Linked DNA regions of Macaca fascicularis. The protein of the gene in region 2 purifies or fractionates together with the protein of the main gene of each other region. This does not show direct contact. Links are inferred from orthologs where the notes say so. Each region holds a gene or a part of one and is shown on either strand. Other genes may lie near its edges.

What was found. The genes of interacting proteins can lie anywhere in the genome.
Region 1: the proteins of IRF2 (region 2) and IRF2BPL purify together in Homo sapiens (affinity purification with mass spectrometry; 3 studies listed by BioGRID and IntAct, counting the BioPlex papers as one, with this or other methods). This does not show direct contact. The link is inferred for Macaca fascicularis from reciprocal best matches to the Homo sapiens genes IRF2 and IRF2BPL.

Annotation. Positions count from the first base shown.
Region 1 is NC_088381.1:144,973,324-144,977,446, forward strand, and holds the start of IRF2BPL (probable E3 ubiquitin-protein ligase IRF2BPL), read right to left. Parts: upstream 2,809-4,123; 5' UTR 1,893-2,808; coding exon 1-1,892. UniProt on the Homo sapiens protein: Probable E3 ubiquitin protein ligase involved in the proteasome-mediated ubiquitin-dependent degradation of target proteins. Through the degradation of CTNNB1, functions downstream of FOXF2 to negatively regulate the Wnt signaling pathway.
Region 2 is NC_088379.1:189,258,900-189,263,172, forward strand, and holds the start of IRF2 (interferon regulatory factor 2), read right to left. Parts: upstream 2,806-4,273; 5' UTR 2,634-2,805; intron 2,513-2,633; exon of another isoform or gene 2,365-2,512; intron 2,298-2,364; exon of another isoform or gene 2,240-2,297; intron 1-2,239. UniProt on the Homo sapiens protein: Specifically binds to the upstream regulatory region of type I IFN and IFN-inducible MHC class I genes (the interferon consensus sequence (ICS)) and represses those genes. Also acts as an activator for several genes including H4 and IL7.

The DNA of each region.
Region 1 (4,123 bases), on a different chromosome or scaffold from region 2:
GCCACCGACATGAGGGCGGCCATGGGGGACGGACCGTTCTGGGGGGCTGACTCAGGTGGGGTGGTCCGGTTAGAATGAGGTCCCAGAGGTGGGGGCGGCGGAGGCGGACCCCCTGCCGCGTGCCCCGGCGCCGCGAAGCCCCCGGCGGACATGGTGAGCTTCAGCGCCTCGCTCTGGTTCGCCATCCACTGTTGCCTCTGCTGCTCCTCGCCCAGCTTCAGCGCGCCCTCGGCTGAGTCCGGGGGCTCCGGAGAGGCCTTCCTCTTGCGCAGGCTGGCGGCTGCGCCCCGGCCCGAGGGCGCCGCAGGCGGCAGGGTCCCGGTCCCCGGGGGTGCGCTGGGGGCGCGGCTCAGACTCACCAGCGCCGTGGGAAGCATGGGACAGCTGGCGTCCAGGTAGGGCTGGGGCAGCATGTCAGCGCCAGGCACGCCCTCCTTGAAGAAGCGCACGGCCTCGGGGAGCAGGTCCCCAAGCAAGCGCCAGTCCCCGGAGCCGTGCTTCTTTTCGTACTCCAGGTACTTGAAACCCGAGGATAGGCCCCGGCCGAAGTCCTTCATGCAGTCCTGGTACATCTGCTTGGCCACACCAGACGCACTGGAGTACACGTTGCCCGAGCCCGTGGGGTACTCAATGAACAGCTTCAATTCGTAGTCCATACCGGGCTTGGAGACCGCGTCGAAGGCGAAAACGCGGCCCAGCAGCGAGTGGTCCTTCTTGAAGCGAACCTCATAGGGCGTGCAGCCAGCCAGCGTGAGCAGCGTGTCGCGGACCATCTTGGGCTTGTTGGCCCATTCCTCGGCGCGGTTGCGCAGGCTCTCGCTCAGCTCGGCCAGGGCCTCGGCGTTGCGCTGCTTCTCCTTCAACTCGCGCTCCTGGTCTGTGCTAGACACCGAGCCGGGCCTCTTGCCACCAGCACCCACGCCCACCTCTGCCACCGACGAAGAGGTCGAAGACGACGCGGAGGACGACGTGGCCGATACACCCGGGGTACCCCCGAGACAAGCGGGGCCCCCAGGAGCCCCTGGGGGAGCAGGCGTTGGGGGCCCACGGCTGCCCAGAGCGTGGGGCGGGGGTGGGGGGAGTACTGCGGCGCTGGCCGGGCCGTTAAGCAGCGTCTGCGGCAGCAGGTTGGGGGGCACAGTAAGCTGGGGACCTCCGCCACCCCCCGGGTTGGGCAGCCCCGTCACCAGCCCACCGTGCGTCCCACGCCGAGACGCCACAGACGCCGCCGCTGAAGACGAGTTGGGACTCTGGCGGTTCAGCTCTGGGGGTCCCTCCTCCGGTGTTGGTTTGGGGAAGCCGTTTGGGCCCCCCAGGCCGTTGGGCAGCCGCGTGGCGTGGCTGCTGCTTCCCAGGCTCACCGGCGGTGGCGGGTACTCGAAGCGGCTGCGCTGTTCCACCGCGGCGGCGGCGGCGGCGGCGGCGGCGGCGGCGGCCGCGCTCAGGCCGTAGCGCTCCAGGCCAGACGGGGCCGCCAACACCGCAGGCTTGCTGGAACCATCAACGTGGTTGAGCTGTTGTTGCTGCTGCTGCTGCTGCTGCTGCTGTTGCTGCTGCTGCTGCTGTTGCTGCTGCTGCTGCTGTTGCGCGGCGGCCGCGGCCGCTGCTGCTGCTGCTGCCGCCGCCGCCGCTTCCTTAGCCGACAGGGCCACTGTCTTGACCCCGACGGGCGGCGGCGGCCCAGGGGAGCGGCCGTCCTGGAAGCAGCCGTGCGCCCGCTTCAGCTGGCGCGCGGTCTCGATCACGAACTCGATGCGATCGGCGCCCTCGTAGTTGACGCAACCGCGGCATACGGGTTCCGAGAAGTCCCAGATCATGGCCCAAGGCATGCGGGGCAGGTCGCACAGGTAGCAAGATTGTCTCCGGGACGAGGACACCTGCGCCGCCGACATGATGCCGGCCCTGGGGAAGGTAGGCCCCCGCCCGGGCTGTCTCCGCGACGCCTTCTCCTCCGGGAGGACTGGCCGGCTGGGGAGGGAGTCCGACTGCGGGGGAGGGAGGAGGGGGGGCGAGAAAGTTCTGCCCCAGGGGCTGGAGGGAACGCGAGTCTCCACCGCCGGCGCAGCGCCTCGCCGTGGGGGCTCCACCGCCCGGGCAGCGGACGGGTTCAGCCCGCTCTTCGTCCCCACTTCCTACTGCGGTTGTCTCGTCGCGAGGGGAGCTCAGGCGCCTTCTTCCTGGTGCTGCAGACTTGGGTTGGAAGCTCCCGGCCCGAGGGGAGGGGGCGAGGGTGCCCGGTGCTGGCCGCCGTTGCCTCTTGGCCCCCTCCCCGGAGTGGATGGTTCGTGGAAGCTCGAAAGGGGCTGTCTCTTCCTCTCCCCGGGGGCCCCCCTACAAGCTGCGTCCTCTCCCCGACGGGCCCCCTGGGGCGAGGGCTAGAGGGTTCAGTGCCACCCGGTGCCCGGGTCCAATCTTGCTGAAGCCGCTGCTTCCCCGGAGGACCGGGGGAGGGGGTGGCAGCCGAGAAAGGACCGTCTCCCCTTCGCAGCGTCGGCCGTTCTGCTGGCGGCGGCTGGGTTTGCACCCCGGAGGGAGCCGCCGCGGCCACTGCTTCCAGGACGCACGAGAGCAGAGGAGAGGAGGGCACGCACGCAGGCTCCCGCCGCCCCCAGGCCTGGCCGGCGCCCGGGCCGCCGCGGCTGGCGGCGCTCACGTTGGTTGCAGGGCGCTCGCGCGGCGCCTCCGCCCGGGTCGCATCCCTTCCCGCTCGTGCTCGCGCTCGCCCGGAATGTGGGGTTGTGATTGTTACTCTACGTTCCGGAGGCGCGTCTCGGCGCTCCTGCTCCGGCTGCGGCTCGCGCTGTCCCCGGCTTGGCCGCGCGGGATGCCGCCCGGGCGGAGCGCTGACGTCACCGCCATGCTCTGCACCAGTTCTCCCCCCCTTCCCTTTACACTTCCTCTGTGGAGCCCACTTGTTGCTCCGGAAAGGCGCATGCGCGGCAGGTTGCCCAGATTCCTCCCAGCCGGCCCCTCCTCCGCGCCTCCGCCCTCCCCTCCCCCCTCGCCGTGTGTGTACAACAGCTGAGGCCCGGCGAGCTAATGCTGGAAGTCCAGAGCTGGGGGTGGAAATTAAACAGACGATGACCTTTCCTTTCCCTGCCCGGCATTCCCAAGTAAAAACGCATTTAAGAACCACTAGCGTCGTTTCCGATCCCTGCTCCCCACCCCACCCCCAAGCCTCGGCAGTGAATTTAAATGTCCTGTTTCAGGATTTTTCGCCGTGAATTTCGTATAAGGTATTAACCATTTCATCTGTGATTGAACCTTATCCCCCCCCTCCGACGGGGATGTTACATTCATCGCCACCACTGATGCCGAAGCACCTGCAAAATTAACTGTTTTACAATCTTCCAGAAACTGTGTTTTCTATTTATTTTTGTGCCCTGATCTAGGAACCTGGGCTTCAACGATGGAGCTAAATGAATTCAGAGTGCGCTACCCTTCCCCCTAGCCGCACTCTAAAAATTTTGGCTGAACGTCTGAAGAAGATACGAGCACCCCGAGGCCTTTAAGGAAAACCGTCAACTGGCTGCGCACAGCTGCAGTTGAGGGCAGGGAGGGGTAGGGGCCGGAGAGGCCAAACAGGTGAGTGGTTTTTCTAGAGTTTGATTTTTAAAAGGTAGGGGCAGCATTTAATAATACTGGTATCTTTTTGTAAAGCACAGTCGCAGTTTTCAAAGTTATTTCTGAGGCGCTGTGATCTCACTCCATGCTGCCCCAGAAGGCAGAACAAGGCCGTGATTTCTTTTTTCTTTTTTTTTTTTTTTTTTTGAGACGGAGTCTCGCTCTGTCGCCCAGGCTAGAGTGCAAAATGGCGCGATCTCCGCTCACTGTAACCTCTGCCTCCCAGGTTCTAGCGATTCTCCCGCCTCAGCCTCCCGAGTAGCTGGCCTAAGGCACCTGCCATCAGGCCCGGCTAATTTTTTGTATTTTTGTAGAGACAGGGTTTCACCATGTTGGCCAGGGTGGTCTTGAACTCCTGACCTCAGGTGATCCTCCTGCCTCGGCCTCCCAAAGTGCTGGGATTACAGGCATGAGCACCACGCCCGGCCAAGGCGGTGATTTCTTTTGCCTTATAAGATCACTGCTCATCAGTATTGCTTATGACACAACGGATTTGTTG
Region 2 (4,273 bases):
CCATTGTTCATAGGGCTGTCAGAACTTCATGGCACACATGTGTTTGCCATAATTTGCTTCCAGTTTGACTACAAATCCTTGCTTTTGATTATGATGACATTTTTACAGGTAAGTAAATCTGAAGTAACTGGAACTTTCTCTAACAAAAAAATGACAACTCACTGAGAATGAAATATGTAAATGTTTAATTTTAACAAGCAGTTACAAATCGTAACAGACAAGAACTCTTGGATCTAAGAGACCAAAATGTAATTTCTTACACAACAAAGTTACAAGTTATAATCGTTCACTAATTACGTGAAATTCCGGACTTTGACACATCAATCAATAGATGTTCCAACGTTCCCCCTAGAGATCCCAGTTCAAGTCTTAAATATTTCATCTGCTGAAGTTTCCTCAGAAAAGGCTCCTTTTCCCAGGGTTTTTTAGGTTTCTATTTTTGCCCCTTCTCCCCCTAAAAGAAGAATAAAGGAAAGTTGGGGAAATCAGAGAATCCTGAATCTTCGTGAGCGGTGAAGTTAAAGAGTCACCCTCTGGGCCTGGTGGGGATAACTGCATCTGCCTGGCATCAAGGTTATCCGCCGCCTGGTCTAACCCCAGACCCCCTTGTGCACCTGCCCTTAAGCACCAAAAACTGAACTGCTCGAAGAGAACCTACAGTAGATAGGAAAACTAGTAACTGACTGCAGGCTCGACAGCAGTCTCGGTGATTCCTGAAAATCCACAACAGGAAATCTAACGATCCTCCATCCCTCCTGGCCATTCATCAAAAGCAGACGAGTCACAGCCATAGGGAGGCCGGTGGCTGAAGACGAAATGCCAGCACCACTTTTCCTCATTTAGAACTGAGTTTTCTCCTTCCATAACCAAGGACAAGGAGCAACGGGAGGGAGGTGGTTGAAGAGGGAGGGGGCGGGTAATATGTCCCCAAGTTTCAGACAGTAGCGGGTTAGAAACGAGCGAAAGCCACCTCGCTCTTCTGAGCTACCTCGGCTGCCAGTCCCCGGGATCACATCCGCAGCCGATCGCCAAGGGTCCGGCCTACACAGACTGACCCGGGCGTTTCACCTGGTGCCCGACCACGGCCCTGGCGCCCGGCCCAGGCTGCCAGCCTCCTTCCCCTCCCCCGCTTCTTAGGGAACAAGGAGGAGACGGTGGCAAACGCACCCAGACCGGGGGCCAAGGGGAGACGCCGGCGCGTGCTGGGAGGGGCATGAGTTACACCCGCGACCCTTGGAACTTGGAACGGCTTCGCCAGCCCTGGCGGGCGCTGGCCCCCAGACGGTGCCACTGGAAGCAGGCGGGCGCCGCGATTGGCCGCCGCCGGCTTCACTCGGTGGGCGAGCCCTACCGGCGAGGCGGAAAGGAAGTGGCGGCCGCCGCGGCTTTGCACCAACCATGTTCGGCCAGCGGGCGAATGTCACCCGGCGCCCGGAGCCGGGTCGGAGGGCACGGGGCGGGCACTCGCGTCCCCACCCCGCCGCGGCCCGCGCCCCGGGACCCCGAGGGGACGCTGGCCCCCACGGCGCCGCTCGGTCCCCGGAGGCTCCCCGCCCCCACCTCGCCCGCTCCGTAGCCGAGGCGGGTCAGGCCCAGCGCGCGAGGCCGGCCGGGGGCGCCTGCGGGGACCCGGGGGCGCACGGCGCTAGGCCGCGGCCCGGGCGGCTGACCCCTCGGCGCGGTGCCCTCCCGGGACGCGCCGCCCGAGCCCCTCGCGCGCCGGGACAAGTGCAATGACAAAGCCCCAGGGCCCGACCGGGCGCTGGCCGGCGGGAAGGAGGACGCGGCGTCCCTTCCGAGCGGCGGCGGCGGCGGCCCAGCCCCCAGGAAGCAGGGCGCGTCGGCCAGGCCCGGCGCCCGGCCCGGCTCGGAGCCCGCCGTCCCGCCCGGGCCGCTGGCACCCGACGCCTGCGACCCGACTCCGAGCCCGGCAGGCAGGCGAGCCCCGGGACCGCCGCGGGGCGCCCCAGCAAGTTTCCTCTGGCCGTGGCTGGAGGCGCTCCTCCCGGCCGGGGCGCGGGCGCGGGCAGCCGGGCGGGCGGCGGTGCCTGCTTATTTACGCTGGAGGCAGCCTGGAGAGACGCCGCCGCGGGCACCGAGAAGGACCCGCTCCCCTCCTTCGGATCCGCTGACGGCGGTGGCTGCACACACACACGCGCACACACAAACACGCACATACACACAATTTTGTTTTAAATGAGGCCCGACTCCAGCGGACCTGCACCCCCACACACAACACCTGGGGCGCAGAAGCACACACAGCAGGTCTGTGTCCATGGAGCCACCTCTCCGCATCTGCAAATCCAAAAGTGAAATTAAACCTCCACCAACCTCCTCCTCCTCCTCCTCCTCCTCCCTCTCTACCTCCTCCTCCTCCTCGCAGCCTCAGCAGCCCCAGTAGCAGCAGCAACAGCAGCAGAACCTGCTTCCCCTAAAATCAGGCGATCCATAATTGCGCCGACTGTTCCTCCAAAAATCGGTATTAATATTTATGAACCCCGGCATTTTCCGTCTGCAAAACATCGTGTCAAGGCATCAGGACACGCATACACACACGGCCCCCCACAGTCCCCAGAAACATGCCCTCGAGAGAAACACACGCACAGTCACAACTATTATTTGAAAAATGTTACCTCTCAGTGTGCTTTTTTCACGCTACCAATACAATTCCGCAAGGTATAAGTGTTGCTAGGGTGTGTGAAATGGAAATGAAAGCCCGTCAGTTGAATAATCGCAGGAGCAAAACTAAAAGTTACTCCCCGGCTTGCCTGAGAACAGTCCAGATCGAAAGCAAAACAAGGAGAGGAAACTGCGAAGAGCCGCGGCTGGAAATCCCCCCACCCCCCGCCCTCCTCCGGCCGCGCTCCCTCCCTCGCCTCCCCTCTCCGCCCTCCTCCCTCCGCCCTTCCTCCCCAGTGTTTGTTTCAAGCTTGTGCAACCAGGAGGTGGAGGCGGAGGGAGGGCGCGAGCGGCCCGGCCGGGAGGTGCGGAAGTTCGCCGCCGCAGCTCATTGGCGGGCAGCGCCGCTTTCATCATTTCTCGGAAAAGTCAATTTCATTTTCGCTTCCCCAGGTCGCGGCGGCGGGAGCAACAAGCAGCGGCTCGTGAGTCGGTGGCTCGCACCCAGGGGCGCCCGCACGCGCCGCTAGAGCGCCCGAGTCGCGGTCCGGGGTGGGGGGCGCAGGCCCGCGGCGGTAGGGGAGGAGGGCGGGCACCCGACTGCCCATCCTCAGGGTGGCCTGAAGGTTCCAAGAGGGCGTCCGGCGAAAGCACGGGGCTCCGACCATCCGGTTAGCAAGGCTGGTGTGACAGCTTAGAGCGAATGAAAATTCGTTTTGTGACGCTGACCACTTGCAAGGAATGAAAGGAGCAGTCAACCGAAAGGACAGCATTGCTTGCGTCCTTACCTAATTGGAACCTTATCCGTGGTTGAGGGTGCCACCATTGGAGGGGCCGCCCCGCCCTCTGACACCACCTGGCACTCCGCTCCACTTGGTAGCTAGAACGAAAAGGAGGCCCATCCCCCAGTAAGTCACAGCTCACGCCAAGATGAGTTATGGAGCCTGTGCGACCGAAGTTTCTTCATTGCAGGGCGAGGTGGACAAGGGTGTGAGTTACTTTGACTTCAAGACGTCTTGGTGGCGGCTGGTTCTGAGAGAGGCTTTATACTGGAGCACTTCCAGCAAAATTCGGCTTGGGCCTCCTTAACTCAACGGCTGGGCACCCTTGGCCTCGGTTTTCAACCAAAGCCTAAGGCCTCAGTTTTCAAGGCTGTAAATGGAAATAAATGAGAGAAGGTACAGCCCGCGTGACAGGTGCAGCAAGCAATGCAGCTTCCTTGGGACCTACCCTTTGTGGTTCCTTGCTTTAAAAAAAGTATACATTCACATTTAGTTAGACCTGTTTCTTCCTCGCATGCAGTTTCATCAGTCTTTTCCCAGACTTCTGTATTCAACAGAGAAAGTTCCTTCCTGGGAGACCATAGCTGTTTGTATGTAACCAGTTGCCTAAAAAAAAAAAAAAAAAAAATGAGAAAAAAACTCCAACACCTCTCTGTCACAAAAGTATTGAATTATATAGACTGGAAAAATGGAAGTATCCAACACCTGTGTGGTAAGGAAATAGCTAAGGGTTCAGGATTCTGTTTTGTGACTCTGGTCTCAGAAATAGACCTCACATACACATTATTCCTTATCCCCTCTATTGTAATATTCACTTTTTTTTTTTTTTTTTTTTAAGAGACAGGGTAGGCTGGGCGTGGTGGCTCACGCCT